Linked DNA regions of Mus musculus: regions 2, 3 and 4 are each reported to be linked to region 1. The links are microRNA targets in miRTarBase. Many come from high-throughput screens and were not tested one by one. Region 1 holds a microRNA gene; each other region holds the end of a gene's coding sequence.

The links. The annotated mature microRNA mmu-miR-15a-5p reads UAGCAGCACAUAAUGGUUUGUG and lies in region 1 at 2,392-2,413, shown strand. An mRNA with a match to its seed (bases 2 to 7 or 8) in the 3' UTR can be bound and repressed. Matches are read on the target gene's strand: a 7mer-m8 pairs with bases 2 to 8, a 7mer-A1 pairs with bases 2 to 7 and ends in A, and an 8mer does both.
Region 2: the mRNA of En2 is a reported target of mmu-miR-15a-5p. Seed matches in the 3' UTR shown: 7mer-m8 at 2,377-2,383.
Region 3: the mRNA of Nfe2l1 is a reported target of mmu-miR-15a-5p. Seed matches in the 3' UTR shown: 7mer-A1 at 2,133-2,139.
Region 4: the mRNA of Stk40 is a reported target of mmu-miR-15a-5p. Seed matches in the 3' UTR shown: 7mer-m8 at 2,489-2,495.

Annotation. Positions count from the first base shown.
Region 1 is chr14:61,630,485-61,634,487 of GRCm38, reverse strand. Mir15a (microRNA 15a) reads left to right here and starts at 2,378; the gene lies at 2,378-2,461. It overlaps Dleu2 (deleted in lymphocytic leukemia, 2), which reads left to right. Exons shown (of 7, transcript NR_028264.1): 4 at 2,005-2,051. Mir16-1 (microRNA 16-1) reads left to right here and starts at 2,516; the gene lies at 2,516-2,608.
Region 2 is chr5:28,169,582-28,173,584 of GRCm38, forward strand. It overlaps En2 (engrailed 2), which reads left to right. Exons shown (of 2, transcript NM_010134.4): 2 at 538-2,609. The coding sequence ends at 854. Among named protein-coding and RNA genes, the nearest start is that of Gm52808, 3.4 kb to the right of the region's middle.
Region 3 is chr11:96,815,906-96,819,908 of GRCm38, forward strand. It overlaps Nfe2l1 (nuclear factor, erythroid derived 2,-like 1), which reads right to left. Exons shown (of 5, transcript NM_008686.3): 5 at 1,509-4,003. The coding sequence ends at 3,271. Among named protein-coding and RNA genes, the nearest start is that of Nfe2l1, 12 kb to the right of the region's middle.
Region 4 is chr4:126,138,244-126,142,246 of GRCm38, reverse strand. Stk40 (serine/threonine kinase 40) reads right to left here. Exons shown (of 11, transcript NM_028800.3): 11 at 1,218-3,437. The coding sequence ends at 3,219. Among named protein-coding and RNA genes, the nearest start is that of Eva1b, 7.8 kb to the left of the region's middle.

The sequences.
Region 1 (4,003 bases):
CCTAAACAATCAGTTTAGTTTTCCTTTCATAGCCATTAAATAAAATTTGGGTATGTTGTTGTTGTTGTTGTTGTTGTTGTTGTTGTTGTTGTTGTTGTTAGAACAATTTCTTTTTCAAATATGTTACATAAGCTCATTTTCCTAGAAAAAAATCACATGGAAATGGAATTTTTAACTATTTAGTAGTATGCCCTACAAATGATTCTGTCACTTTTCACATATCAAATTTTAGAACTAGGAATTTAAAATGTTTAGAGAAGAAACAGTTCCAAAGATTTTATAGTGGCATTATTGCCACATCAAAGATATTAACATACCCAGCTTTTAACTTCCCAAATTTGTTGCAGTATTTCATGCCTTTAGCTTTGCTATTTAAGTAGATTTTTTGTGCCCTGAGAATTGTTGCTCTGTCATCAGAACTTAAACCTGGTAGTGTTTTCTCCATGTTCTTAGACAACTTCATAAGATGGCTATGGTTCAGAAGCGTCCTACAAAGGCTTATATGTATGTTAATGGTTCATTTGCAGATAGGGAACCAGAAAGGGTCAGTGTACTAGAATAACAGCCATGGGAGACACTCAAAGGACAGTGTCAGGGTTCGGACCTCAGATTCTGTATTCTGTCATTGTGCTCCAACAAATTACTGGTTGCTTATTATTAAATTCAAAAAGTATCCCATTATTCTGATGCAGTCAAGATGATGATATAGCTTGGGCAACATGCCTATAAATGTTTGTGAAGTGCTAAGCTTTATGGAAACAAGATGAATTAATATTAGAAGTTTTATAAGGTAAAAAGTAAATGTTTCTAAAGAAAAATATTAATGGAAACAAATAGAGTTGAAGGGGGAAATAGGACAATTTGGTTTGATCTATCTTCTTAAATTGTTGTAAAATTCTGTTTTCTTATACGAATAATATTAATTTCAGGTATTTAAAGATTGCCATGTATTCCTATGTACACTCAAGTTACCTTCTTAAGCAAAACATTTTGTTTTCTTTTCAGAATGGCTTTTTTTTCCTTTTAAGAACATTAGTAAAAAGTTGAACTATGTAAAAACCCAACAAAGAAAAATTATTTTGGTCCTTAGGCCAGAATATAAACCACTGAATTTGGAACGGGGCATGATGGTGCACGCCTTTAATCCTAGCATGCAGGAGGGAAACCAGGCAGATAGATCTCTGAGTTCCAGTCCAGCCTGGTCTATAGAATGAATTGCAGGACAGCAGCCACTGTCCTCAAAACCTCTCTCAAAAAACCACTGAATTTGAAATTATAATCATTGTATAAAGATAAAGGACAAAATCACTTTTAGCAGCTTTTATCTTTATTTTCAGACTTTTTTTTTTTAAGCTGGCACACTTGAAAGCAAAGGTTTGAAGATTTAAAGACGTTTTGATATTTCAAATGACCCAACATGAACGGGAATGGAGAAATGGCATTGACCCACTAGAAAACATTTGCTACACAGTAATCTAGTTTGAATGGAAAATCTGGTATGAACTGGAATAATAAGAACAGTTCTTTGTGAAGGGATGGCTAAGTCCCCCACTAAACAGAAAAGAGTCTTCTTAATAGTGTAAGAAAACCTAGATATTCACACACACATAAAATGAAGTTGGAACTTAACGTAGTAAAAATTTTGTTTCAGCTAAGTCAAAGTCCTGTGGTATAAAATGATACTCCTTTAAAGGACTAGCCTTTTTAACTGGGAAACACACAAATGGTTACTTAGGCTTGAGCTACAGGATTTCTGATATATCCTTTTAGGAAACCAAATAGACCTGTTATCCTAAGATGATGTTCTGGGTAATAATAAATGACACTGAACTCACAATAACTATTCCAATATTGAGATAAATCTTGTGTTCATGTGTAGATTGGGGGTTATATATTTTTGGGGAATATGTTTCATGTGTATGTCTTCTAAATATTTTGCTAGTATAAATTTCTTGAAACTGAGCTCTTACATGTTTGTTCTTACATGTTTCCTTTAACATGAAGCTTTGTCCTATGGATTTGGCTTTGAAAGATGTGCTGCTCTTAATAAGGTAAAAACCAACTTTTGTAGCTATTTCATGTGTTAAGCACATTCAAAAGTTGTTAGTTTAATAAATGAGGTTCTTAAGTTGGTATGGGAAAATGACTTGCTTTTCTCGTTTCATGACTACAATAAATTACAGCACTGTATTAAGTTTTCTGTACGCTTTTATTAAACTTATGATATGGAAATACTTTTTATTCTGCTGAAAGCCTATAAAATTATGCACATACCAGTGTTAGATTTTTTTCAAACATAGATTTTATGTGTTCTACTTTTTCCTAAAAAGCCTTTTCTGTAAATTACTATTGAGGTGCTAGGAGTTTTCAAAACCAACCCTTGGAGTAAAGTAGCAGCACATAATGGTTTGTGGATGTTGAAAAGGTGCAGGCCATACTGTGCTGCCTCAAAATACAAGGACCTGATCTTCTGAAGAGAGTACCTGTCTTTTTATTCATAGCTCCTATGATAGCAATGTCAGCGGTGCCTTAGCAGCACGTAAATATTGGCGTTAAGATTCTGAAATTACCTCCAGTATTGACTGTGCTGCTGAAGTAAGGTTGGCAATACTCTACAACTGTAATTCAATGTGTATTGATGTTACTTGTGTGTTTACACGGTTTTTCTAATTGCATTAGTGATTTTATGTTTGGTATGATTCTGTAATGATGTTAGTAACAACGCTCTACATATTGTGTCTGTTAAAATACTATATAATTGTGGGATGGTAATGCAGCTCAGTTGGCCAAGTGCTTCTTGCTAGCATGCACAAGGCCATGGGTTTTAGCCTTACCACTGCATACCAGGTACACTTGTAATCCTAGATCTGAGGAAGTGGAAAAAAGAGAATTAGAGGCTTAACATCATCCTTGGCCATAAAGCAAGTCTAAGACCTATGTAAGGATCTGTCTTTTAAAAACAAACAAAACATAATGACTTCTGTGTGAGGAACTGATTATAGGACTTCTAGATACCCAGATTTGTAAATGCTTGGATCTCCTGTATAAAATGTCTGCTCGTGACCAGTGCATATCCTCCCTTATACTTATTTAAACTTATCTCTACATTGTTTTTAATGTGTAGTGCAGTGGGATGTTAACATGGATAGTTGTATTATTCAAGTTATTCTCTTAATGATGAGAAAAAAACTGTACAATTCAGTACTAATGCAGTTTTTGTCCAAGAAATAAGTTTTTTGGTTTGGTCTTTTGAGCCTGGGTCTCACCATGTAGACCAGGCTGCCATGAAACTCACTGAGATCCTCTTGCCTCCGCCTCCCAAATTCTTTGTTTAAAACTGTAGGCCCCAATGCCTGGCCACCCAAATGTTTTGAATGTGTGGTTGGTTGGATCCACAGATGGAGCACTGACTAATAATATAACAAGTATTTTTAAGTCTTGAACACCTTTCCAGAGTTTCTTGAGAGCTACAGTGGTACAGAATATACCCAGTACCACCAAGGCTCGAGCTCTCTTTCCAGCATTTCCATATAAAAGTTTATTTGAAAGAGTTTAGGAAGTACCAAATTGTACATGAATTTAAACTCATATTATTACTTATAATAGAAAAATACTTTTCTCTTGATTTGAAGTTTTCTTTAGATACAGATAAAGTTTGAAATGCTACAGATTATAACATAATCTTGAGTATAATGTGCCTAAATATTTCATTTTAAATGAAGGAGAATAACACTAAAATGTGTACGTTGAATTTTTAAACTTAAATTTAGAAGAATCCTTAGAATAGCTGACCTTTTTATTGGTTAACTGAGGAAACAATCTGAAATTTAATTTGCAACCTATGACATATTAGGGTATAAATCCTATATCTTCTAACTTAATAATTACTGTTTTTCTTATTTTTCACTAAAATGTTTAACAGGAGATTTTTATAAGTCAAAAGTATGAAAGACATCTCATCTGTGCCTTAATATTTAACTTCAGATTAAAGCTAACAGTCATT
Region 2 (4,003 bases), not on the chromosome of region 1:
GCCTCACCAGGCCTCAGCCTTGGCTCCTCCTGGGAACTCTACTGCCCTTGGGATCCCCTTGTAGTTGTGGGTTACATAGGAAGGGGGACGGGATTCCCCTTGACTGGCTAGCCTACTCTTTTCTTCAGTCTTCTCCATCTCCTCTCACCTGTCTCTCGACCCTTTCCCTAGGATAGACTTGGAAAAAGATAAGGGGAGAAAACAAATGCAAACGAGGCCAGAAAGATTTTGGCTGGGCATTCCTTCCGCTAGCTTTTATTGGGATCCCCTAGTTTGTGATAGGCCTTTTAGCTACATCTGCCAATCCATCTCATTTTCACACACACACACCACTTTCCTTCTGGTCAGTGGGCACATGCCCAGCCTCAAGTTTATATCACCACCCCCAATGCCCAACACTTGTATGGCCTTGGGCGGGTCATCCCCCCCCCCCCACCCCCAGTATCTGCAACCTCAAGCTTGGGTGCGTGGGTTGTGGATAAGTAGCTAGACTCCAGCAACCAGTAACCTCTGCCCTTTCTCCTCCATGACAACCAGGTCCCAGGTCCCGAAAACCAAAGAAGAAGAACCCTAACAAAGAGGACAAGCGGCCTCGCACAGCCTTCACTGCTGAGCAGCTCCAGAGGCTCAAGGCTGAGTTTCAGACCAACAGGTACCTGACAGAGCAGCGGCGCCAGAGTCTGGCACAGGAGCTCAGCCTGAACGAGTCTCAGATCAAGATTTGGTTCCAGAACAAGCGGGCCAAAATCAAGAAAGCCACGGGCAACAAGAACACTTTGGCGGTGCACCTCATGGCACAGGGCCTGTACAACCATTCCACCACGGCCAAGGAGGGCAAGTCGGACAGCGAGTAGGGCGAGCAGGGCGGGTGGGCCGGCCGGCCGGCCAGGTCTAGGGCCGCGAGAAACAATGCAATAATTTTAAAACCGTGAACAAAAGGCCAGTGTATAAAGATTATACCAGCATTATCTGTGAAAATCCAGTGTATTAGCTATGGTTCTACAATAATCTATGTACATATAATTTACAGGTGGTGTAAAATCCAAAAATCTGACTATAAAATATTTTTGAGTTTTTTTTTTGTGTTTCAGAGGTTATGCTAATTTTATGTTATTATTATTTTTCTGCAAAGGGGACTGTTTAGGGTTTCAGATCTTTCTTTCATTTTTCTTTTCTCCCTTTTTTTAATCCCTTAAATTCCATTATGGGACATTGGACACTTCTTCCCCCGAAAGAAAAAAAATTTAAAACAACTTGCTGAAGTCCAAAGATTTTTATTGCTGCATTTCACAGGACTGTGAACCGAATAAATAGCTCCTATTTGGTCTGTGGGCTCTGCCGCTTGCTTTGTGCTGGCTCGGACAGCACTGTAGGAAGCGCCAGCCAGAGTGGTGATGGAGAGCTCTGGTGGGGAGAGAGGGCGCAGTTCTTTGCTGAGGTCTGAGAAAGTCCTTGCAGGCCAGCAGCTCTCCCGGAACCTCTCCGCCTGCTTCCTACGCAGCCTCTCTTCTCAACCATCTCAGAGGCCCGTGCTGGCAGCCACCGTGTGTCTGCGTCTGTGTCGATGACCCCTGTCCGCCACAGCCCCGTAGCGACCTGCCAGCGCCAACTCTCCCGCCACCGTGGCCAGCGTTGGGGCCTGGGGAGCAGTGGGAGTGTGTCCTGAAGGCTTGAAGGCTTTGCTGCCGGGACAGCTAGCCCTGACCCAAAAGCCCTCACCGAGATAGGCCTTGGGGCCTGGCAGAGCGAGTTGGAATCATCTTCCTTTCCTTTTTCTTCCCTCTTTTTTCTTTTTCATTTATTTTTGAATGGTAAATACATGTATGTGTACATACTTGTGTATGCATGTGCACGCACACCCCAGGCCTGTGTGAAGCTGGGGTTCTGGAGCTCACAGCTACCTTGACTTTCAAAGGAACTCGAATCCTCCCGAATCTAGAGGACATGTGTAAATAATCATTTCTTATCATGTTTTTGTCTTTTTTGTTTTTTTTTAAAGAAAATATACATTTTATTTTTGAAGGTGTGGTACTGTGTAAATTAAATATATTCAATATATCCTTCCAAGTATATATATATATATATATATATATATATATATATATATATATATACAAAAAACACATTATATGTAACTCCACAATGTCTTCTGTTTAGTGTATGGGAAAAGGTGTCCAAACATCCACCTGGGGCCAGCACAGTGGCCAGCGTGTTCTCAGGCTGCCTGCTGAGGACCGATGGTGGATTTCTCTCTTTGCCTTAAACCTCTTTATTTCACTGCGCCAACACTTTCTCTTTGTACATATTCGTGCCAACCTTCTGAAAAGGAAGCTATAAAAACAGAAGTTGTAATTTAAGAGTCTGTGAATAACCATCTGCTGCTTGGGGGTCGGTGGAACACATGCCTTTTAGCAGGAAGCAAATCTGTCCTTTTTTAAGTTTATAAAATGTGCATTTTACAGTATCAAATATTTATAATCTTATGAGAAATGGGTGAATGTTCCCTACTTAAAACTGTGGTTATCAAAATTGTGACCATTCCAATCTGTGAATTTTTGTGTGTTTAAATTCCTGAAAGTTACATTAAATAAAAAGAAATAACTCTTTAATATAAAATGTTGGGATGGAAGGTAGACTTTGTCCATGTCTGTAGCTGAGATGGTCTCCCCAGCACCCAGGTGCTGCACCTACCCTTGAAACAAGAAACAAGAGAATATTGTTTCTTTTAAATAGCAACCTTTGAAAACTTAACATGTAAGCTCAGAATTGAGGGTGAAGAAATGAATTAAACCATGATGTTTCTGCTCACTGAACTATCTCAATGGATGAAATCTAACAGGTCTCCCCCACCCCTCTCCACTGCCCATAAATGGTGCAAGCGTTCTCTGTTGGGCTCTGTGGAAGGACTTGTGGTCTTCAAGAGATAATGTCTTCCCCTAAATGCTATTTTTGTTTCTCCCACTTCCAATCCGCAAAGGGAAGGATCAAAATCTGCAGGATTCGGGGGAAGGGAGCGCTGAAGTACCCGGATCTAAGGCAGTCCGTGAAGCCAAACTTACTTGGCTTGAAAGAAAATTGTTTTGTCCTGTTTTGTTTGTTTTTTTTCTCCCAGGAAGAGAAATTCAGAGAGTGTCAAGGATTGCCTGCTGCCAAGGGTAGTTTCAGTCCAACATTGGCCGCTTTCGGACAGATGTTGGGCCACTGCTCCTGCCATGTAGGAGATCCACAAGGAAGAGAATTGGACTCACTTTGAGGGCACCAAAATCTCTGTTACCCAGGAGTGTGGCAGGGTCATCATGGGGGTCAAGGTGACACAGTTTCTTCCTCAAGGCCTCATCTTCTACACATTCCTTCAAAATGCTGGCACAATTTACATTATTCTGTTGGCCTTTCCCATTTTAATAAAACATAGTAACACCCATTTTTTTCAAACTGTACCGTTGGGAGAGGGGGTACACCTCTTCAAGATAATGAGAGCCTGGGTCCCACAGGCAGTCCAGCAGACACCCCTGACAATAATGCCAGGTTTTCAGGTTTTTGGTATTGTCTTGTGATAGGGCCCTAAACTGGAAGGGACTTCAGATCCTTGGTGTTCTTGGGTTACTCTTTGCTCCTGTCTGTATTCTTTTTTTTTTTTTTTCTTTTGCTTCAAAGGCATGTAAGCAGAGCTGGCAAGGCACAGGGAGCCTGTGCTGCGCTGCTAGACTTACTCTCTCAGCTGGGGTGAGCAGAAAAATAGTTCCCACCAGCTGGGAGGGCAAGGCATATTCAGGGTTACTGCAAGTCCTCCAATTCTAACCCTACCTCTGCAGTACTGTGTGCTTTGGATATGGGCAGGGCGTCCTGCCACTGGGCCCTGGCTAGAAGGAGGTGGGAATCCCAATTAAGAGGGGAAAGCTCCTTTGTGGAAAAATCTTTGCCTTTTGGATCTCAATTGTTCTCTGCTTCTGCCGATGGCCTGGGCATGTGTCTGTATCCCTCAAGCTGAGCTCATTCTACAGTT
Region 3 (4,003 bases), not on the chromosome of region 1:
ACCAAGTCAAGGGCTAGAACTCCTCATTATCTCACATGGAGCCCACAGGATTTCTGCACTCAACAGCAAAGTCAAACCCACAGGCAAGTGTGCAATGTGTGAGGGAGGAAAGTGGTTAAAAGGTGCTGGCTCATCACCGCATATTGACAAAAATGACAGGTCAGTATGTAGGGACTCACTTAACCACAGGGATCAATAACAGGGAGAGCACGCCTACTCTTGACAGTAGGATGTAGGATTCTGCTGAGGAATTTCCACACCTGGTCAGGTAACATGCACCTGGAATCCTAGAACTTCAGGGACTAAGAGAAGAGGTGGAGGTCATCTTGGGCTACATCTGTGACTGGAAAGATGTCTGGGGGGGTTAAGAGCACTTGCTGTTAGCTAGGTCATAGTGGCACAAGCTTTTAATCTCAGCACTTGGGAGGCAGAAACATGAAGACCTAAGTTCAGGCGAAGTCTGGCCTACACAGCAAGTTCCATACTTACACAGAGAAACTCTGCCTTGAATAAACAAAAAATTAGTACTTGCTGCTGTTGTGGAGGATTTGTGTTCGATCCACGTGGTGACTCATAACCCTTCTAAGGGATTCATTGCCTTTCCTGGCCTTTGTGGGCACCAGCACACAATGTGGTACACAGACATACATGTAGACAAGGTATCCATACAATATATAAAAAAAATTGTTTCCTTGCCTTGCTGGGAAGAGTGGTAGAGAGGCAACCACCAGATAATAACTGTATGTGGATCCCCTAACCAGTTTTCACTTTACAACCTGGATAGTCTCAAACTTGCAACCCAACTACCTCAGCAGCCCGGTTGGGGGATTATAGGTGTGTATCCACTATTCACAGTGGGTAGTTTCTTTTCCTGGAAATTGAAATAAACTACTTCACTGGTGAGACCCATGTGGTAAAGTTAGACAACCAGTCTCTTAAAGAGTAAGACAGAAAAATCTTTTGAGTGAAGTTTAGGGACTGATGAACCAAGACAAAGGGCGCTTCCCCCCATGTCAGACCCAAGGTCCTGCTGCAGAGGTGTGTAGGTCAAAACTAAGGCCTGATTATTCGGAAGGTGCTACCACCTCTCCCTACTGTCTTAGGTGAGTGGGTAAATGGCACCAGCCCTCTTAAAGGCCTAATTTCTGCAAGCAGCAGCCCAGAGGCAAAGGCCAGCCCTTCCTACCTAGAAATTGAGGATGTTAAGTTGAAGCAGGCAGTGTGAGTTCTCAACACACAGGACATCTGTAGCATGGCGCACTTCACGGCTAACAGGTCCCATTTCCAGGCCATGACTGCAGTCCAGCAGTGCTCTGTGCCTCTCCAGCACAGCACCGACAGTCAAGCCTCTGAGAAGGCTCCCCTGATCCAGCAGGAAGAGATGGCATGGGCTTCACTGCAGAGTTCTTTTGTCAGTGCTCCCCGCCTTCCCACCTAAGCACACAATGGCCAGTCTCCCAGCTTCCGTGACTCTCATCTGAATTCAGAAGGGAGAGGGGGGAGAAAGTGCACTTAAGCTGAATCATCCATTTTATTTGATTTTATTTTGTCATGTGCTCACAGCATTTCTTTCTCTCCTCTCCCTGGCAGGTCACAGAGATAAATTAAAAATAAAATCTACAAGGAAAATAATTTATAAAAAGCACTCCCAGGCTCACGCTTTCTATCCCTACTGCTCGGTTAGGAAAGCCCTCTGCCCTGCCCAGGGAGGAGGATCAGTGCTCCCCCCCAACCCCTGCTCGTCTGGGGCAGGCAGTACTCCAGAGCTGACCAAGATTGGGGGTCAGGGGGCGGCAGTGGCAGTTAAAAAACAAACAAACAAACAACAACAACAAAAAACCAACAACAAAAAAAAGACACTGTGGTCCTGGAACCAACCACCTGGCTATCTTGGCGCTGCCCCTCACTGCCTCCCCCAGGGCTGTCCTCCAGGAGCCCAGGCTGAACAGGCTGTGAAGAAGCTGCCTGAAGCTGAAAGCCTAGGGGAGGGTCATCTCCTGCCCCTTGCATGCACTTCTCATTTTCCTAGAAAGAAACCCAAAAAAGAAATCAAGACCAGACCTCGGGACATAGGAGAAAAATCCCAAGTGTTTACACAGTTAACACGGAGTCTTTATGGCAAAGAGAACATTTAGCAGCTTTGAATATTGGGGCATCTCCTTTTTACTCAACACAAGCATCCTAGGCCCTATAAGTGTAACAGGGCACACGCCCTAAAAAAATCAAAGCGCAAGAACGTCTAAGAGGACTAGGTTTTGTTGCTGGGGTTTATAGGCTTTTGTTTCCCCCAGTGAGGAGCCCAGGTGTTGGTAGGCAGAGGGGCCTGAGGGAAGAATCACTTCCCAGTGTTGTGCTGAATGGTGCCTGGATGTCACTGGGACCACTCCTCCACACGTGCCTTCCCTGTTTAGACCCTGCAGAGGAAGCTGTAGGCCAAGTTCCAGATACTGCCAGAATAGCACCCCACTCCAGAGCTGGAGGCAGCTAGTGAGGGTGGGTATCAAAAAGAGGAGGAGAGTGGAAGAGGACAGCATTTCCATGCAGGCTCTCTGAGGACAGTGGGAGCCTCGGCTCTGGGATGGCCAGGGAGGGAGGTGGCTGTGGCAGGGCAGTGTGTGACATGCTTGATGCTGGGCTGCTGCGACACAGGCCTCGTTCTCACTTCCTATACCCTCTGCCCTCCTCGGCCCCTACAGCTTCCCATTCAGTAACTAAGATATTACAGGTGCATCCAAGAGCATCTTCCCTTCAGGGATGCAAGAGTTGAAGAAACAGTTACAAAGGCCTTCTGGGGCCCCGCCATGTCTGTGTTCCATACCAGTAACTCTCCCTAGACCACCGTTGTCACCTGCACTCGCTGCCTAGAAAGCTGGCCAAAGCCCTTAACAGTCGCTCTGGTTTTTCTGACTGCTTTGATTTTCGGGGGATTCCTTCCTTTTCTCCTTCCAGCAATGAGATCTCCCACACTTTCTCTCCTTCACTCCACACAGCTCCTCTACTTCCAGCATGCCGACACTACCCTCCCCTCAAGAGAAAGGGAATAGGCTGGGGACCCCAATCACCCAAGCAGTCTGGTCCTCCCTGCCCACCCCAAGGGGGCAGCTGAGCCAGACAGCGCCTGCGCCCGCCTCTTCGGTGCACTGACCCGCAGTCATCCCATCTGAGAAGATATATTGGATAAGAAGGCATTTAAGTCCCCAATGTTAGGTCCAGGCCCAGCCCTTCTCCAGTTTCGGTCTTAGTGAGCGTCCACCCCCTGCCTCCCCAGGCTCACTTCCTCCGGTCCTTTGGCTTTCTCTCCTGTCGCCGAGCCTGCTGGTCAGCCATCGTGCGAGGAATGAGGAGGACACTGCCATCCCCAGCATACTGAAGGGCATACTGACTGGGTGAGTAGGGCCTCCCATGCTCATCCCGCAGCCGCCCAAACACCTCCTGGTATAAGCTTTGGACCTTCTGCTTCATCTGTCGCAGAGACCGAAGGAACTCTACCTTTTCTCGAAGCAATCGGGCCTTATCTCGCTGCAAGTCCTCCACATCACGTTCTAGGTTTAGGATGGTGTCCAACTTGCGCTTGCGGCAGTTCTGTGCAGCCATCTTGTTTTTGCCCCGGCGCCGGATATCCCGGATGAGGCTGAGCTGGGCCTCGCTCAGCTGGTATTTGGACAGCAGCTCATTGAATTCTTCTACAGGCAGGTTGATGATCTTGTCATTGGTGAATGGGATCTTCATGGCTCGGGCTCTGTGCTCATCTCGGCTCATCTGCTTGTCCAGGAAGTCAGCCTGCTTTTCCTTGCTACCTTTCTTGAGGGTGCTGGGTGGTGGTAGATCAGCAGAGTCAAGGGCACTGGGTGCCATATTGTATGTATGATTGTGGCCCACATGCTCTAAGTAGGGAAGGCAAGAGAGCTGAGAAGGATCCTGATAGCTCATGCGGCAGAACTTGGAGTATTCCGGCTGGTAGCCCACTGCACCCTCAGCCTCTTCTAGGTCTAGGGTCTCAGAG
Region 4 (4,003 bases), not on the chromosome of region 1:
CAAGGGAGAGCTGGGGAAGAGAAGAGAGAAGTGGGGGGGGGGGGAGAAGAGGAGAGGGAGAGGGGAGAGGAGAGGAGGAAGAGAGAAAACAGCGCCAGGGGTAGACCTAGACCTGACTGGGCAGCAAGAGAATGAAGAAAAGACAGACAGATGGACAGAAAGCTGGGATCAGGTGGTCTGAGCTCTTGGATGGAAAAACTTCAGCTTGCTTATTATAGAGTTAAACAAAACCAAATGAGCTATCTCATAAAGGATATGTAGCGCCGGTAGTGATCAGTAAGCCAGGGGCTGGAGAGGTGCTGTTGAGGACCGGGTTTCAGTTTTAACTTTTAACCCAGAAACCTGATGCCCTCTTCTACCCTTTGGTACAGAGGCATCCATGCAGGCAAAACAGCCATAGGCATAAAGGATTAAATATAGATTTTTAAACCCAGCACTCAGGAGGCAGAGGCAGGTGGATCTCTGAGTTCAAGGCCAGCCTGGTCTACAGAGTGAGTTCCAGGACAGCTCCAGGGATACACAGAGAAACCCTGTCTTAAAAGGAAGGAAAAAAATTAACGTCTAAGGAAATGGGGCTGTTTTGTCTAACCTCTAAAGGCAAAAACCAAAATAAACTAGAGCCATACCAATTCTGCGGGCTGAGGACACAGAGAGACCTAGACAGCCCCAGAGGTTATTTGTATCTGGTCTAGGGCAGCTGGCAGTACTGGGCTGAGAGAAAGAGCCCTTCATGGTAGTGCAGTCAGGGCCACACGGAGTAGGGGGTCTGTGAATGGTAGAGTGTGTGGGCTGTGGGAAGGGGCAGAGCAGCGCTGTCCTGGGAATGAGGCCCACCTCTGGGGGGCTTCATCTGTGGGATGGCCTAGCCTACCTCTCTCCCTTCAGCAGGAAGCTCTCCGTTTCTTGGTTTCGTTGGGAAATACAATGTACAGTCTAAACTTAGGCAAGGGAAGGAGGTGGGAAGGAAGGCGGGCACCCCTGGGCTTCCCAAGGAGGGGAGGGCAGCACAGGAAAAGGGGAGGGCAGCTCCTTTTCCCAGCTCCTGAGTTGTCTAGGCCCTGACAGGGGGAATGACATCCTGGGTCCCCTCCTACTTCCACTTCAGACAGTAGGGCTTAGCTGCTTTGCTTGCTGAAATGCAGATGCCCAGGCTGTGAGCAGGGATGGAGGGAGGGCTAGAGAGCGCACGGACAAGCACAGAGGCAGGCTACAGACCATGGTGGCTCCAGATCAGGAAGTTTTATTGCTGACATGCAGGAAGAGTCCCCATGTAGTACAAAAATACGTCTTTATACAAACTTTTTTGTGACTTTTTCCATTTTGTTTTTTTTGTTTTTGTTTTTGTTTTTTTGTTTTTGTTTTTCTTTACAACAGGACTTCTCAGTGCCTGACAGCAGCGAGGGCCCCACCCTCCCCTCATCTGCACCACCAGAAATACCACCAGACCCAGGTTGCCCTCAGAAGGAACCAGGCTGGCTGATGGCATGGCAGACCTGAAGGTATTGCTTTAAAAGGAGGGAATCAGGCCTGAGGCATCAGGCCTGAAGGGCTAGGCAGGGGCTCTGCCCAGGAGGGCCCTAGCCAGGCCTCAGAGCCTCACTGGAGGGTAGTCATGGGCTAAGGGCCCAGGCTGACTGCATTTCCACTCCCTTCGGAGACTTATCGCTATCAAATAAATATAGAAAAGAGCCCTCCCCCGCAGCACCATGCCCTGACTCTCAGTGGCTGGGCGGCTGAACTAGAGGCAGAGCTGAGTGCCAGGGGAGTTAACTGCTGGGCTCAAGTGGGCTCCACAGACCCAGCAAAACAGAGGCACAGGAGCCCAGGGCTGGATATGGGGCATGGGGAGGAAGGGGCATGGGCAGCCCTGCTACTGCTGGCAAGAGGTGGCCCCATTTTTTCCAGATGGGGAAACTGAGGCACAAGGAGGTTTGGGGACTTGCCCAAGGTCACTCACAGTGAGTCAGCTTTTCAGGGGGTGAGGGGCAGCTCACACTCTAGGAAACATGGTCTCCCCATTGGAGAGCAAGAGGCAGGAGGGGTCTAGGACTACCTACCAGGAGGGTGACATTGCCCTCTCTGAGGGTACACAGGAGGTAGGCCTCCGGAGTTGGGTCTTTGCTTGGTTTTGGGTGTGCCAAGTCCAGTGCAGGGAGGGGCATTCTGGAGAGAACAGCGTTTCTGGCAAGACGGGCATCCACTTCAAAATTTCGGCTCAAAAAGGGTAGCAGGGCTGTTCTCAAGCCAGGAAGGTAGGAAGGTCCCCACCCCTACAGATTTCCCTCCAAGGCCTACCCCCAAGTAGGTAATCTTCCAGAGTCTTCTGGAAGAGGCACCACTTCTGCGGTGAGGTGAGGTTCTCTGAGCACAAGTGGCCTGTCCTCAGTAGGCCCAGAGCATCCTCTGGTGGCCACAGGTCCCTTCACACTATGTCCACATTTACCTGGGTACCACATGAAAGATGGAGGAGGCGGGACTAATGCAAACGAGCAGCACCTCAGAGAAGCTGCCAGGACAGAGAGAGAGACAGGTCTGGAAACAGAGCGAGAGAGGAACTGGCAAGAGGGCTCCTAGGTGCCTGGGGTGAGAAGGGAGCCTACACACACGGGCCCTGCTATTCAGCCAGGCTCAGGGCCAGAGTGGCCAAGGGCTGAACCTAGAGATACAAGTTGGGTTCAGTAAAAAAATAAATAGATTTGACTTGGGCGGCAGGTGAGGTGAGAGTGTTCCAAAGCTTAGACTGAGGGCAGGCCCCCGGGGACGGGGAGTGGACGGTGGGAAGGGGTGCTTACTGGGGGCCAGCAGCGAGCTGCATGGTCAGCTTATATGGACTGTGGGGTCAGTGGCCTAGCCAGGCTGCAGCTGTCCAGTGCCTGGGTTGTGAGCGTAGACTCCCCTCTTCCCTCCTGACACTCAGTCCAGAGACAGCGTGGTTAAAGAGACAGAGGTAGATTAAAATGTCATGATTAAAAGCAGATTAGCTATCTATCTAGAATTCTCAGATAAAAAAACAATCAAGCAATCATCCCAAAAGGTAGCTCTGTGGTACCTCTGTTGACCCTGGCTGTGACCTGGGCTGTCCCTATCCCTGCCCTATCCCTACTGCAGCCTGGGAGAATCAGTCCAGCACTGCTGGGCCCGGGCCCAGGCAGGCCCGATGGCTGGGCCTCAGGTGGGCCGAGAAGAGGTGTGCTGGGCTAGTGCCCTAGCTGAGGGCACTATTTCCGCAGATAGCGTTGTGCCAGGATGGCTGTGTCCAAGGAGGTCATTGGCTGTGCGTCGTGGCCTAGCCGTCGGACCGGTGGCATGCTACCGAATTGCCGCTTGGGCACCCAGGCCCGGGCCTCATGGATGGAACTCTTCTCTTCAGCCAGCAGCAGTTGCTGTCGCATGTAGTTCTCAAACTCGTATTGGGAGCACTCCTCTGTCACCTTTGCCTGTGAGGGGAGAGAGCAAGGTGAAGACAGCAAGCACTCGGGGAGCCCAGCACAGTGTGGCTGCTGAGGTCATGTTTCCCGGGTACCACAGTTCAAGCGCCATCTTCCTACAGGCTGAGTGGGGGGCCCTGCTGGCTGATGTGAGTGGCTGCCGGAAGCTCTAGCTACACACAACCCTTTCCTCTGGCCTTCTAGGCTGCATAGCATCCTCCCCATAGTGGGGTGCGTGTGTGTGGTGGTGGGGCGTATGAGGTAAGGGTAGAGCACGTGTGTACGAGGGGGAGGGTGCAGCGGTGTGTGCATGTGAGTAGAGTGGCAGTGAAGGGTGTCTCCTCACAAAGGGTCTCTGGAACTCTGAGGGGCTGACACGTGTGGGGGTTAGGCAGGCGATGGAAGACTCCAGCGGCAGGTCCTGACTAGTGGGAAGGCAGGATTTTGGAATCAAGGCACAATTCCCCTGCTGCCACACTGTGTGACCGTGGACACATCAGTGTACTTCTCCGATCCTCAGGTAAAAATAGGACCCACGTGCCCTAGGGTGGACTGAATGGGAACCGGGTGGGCTT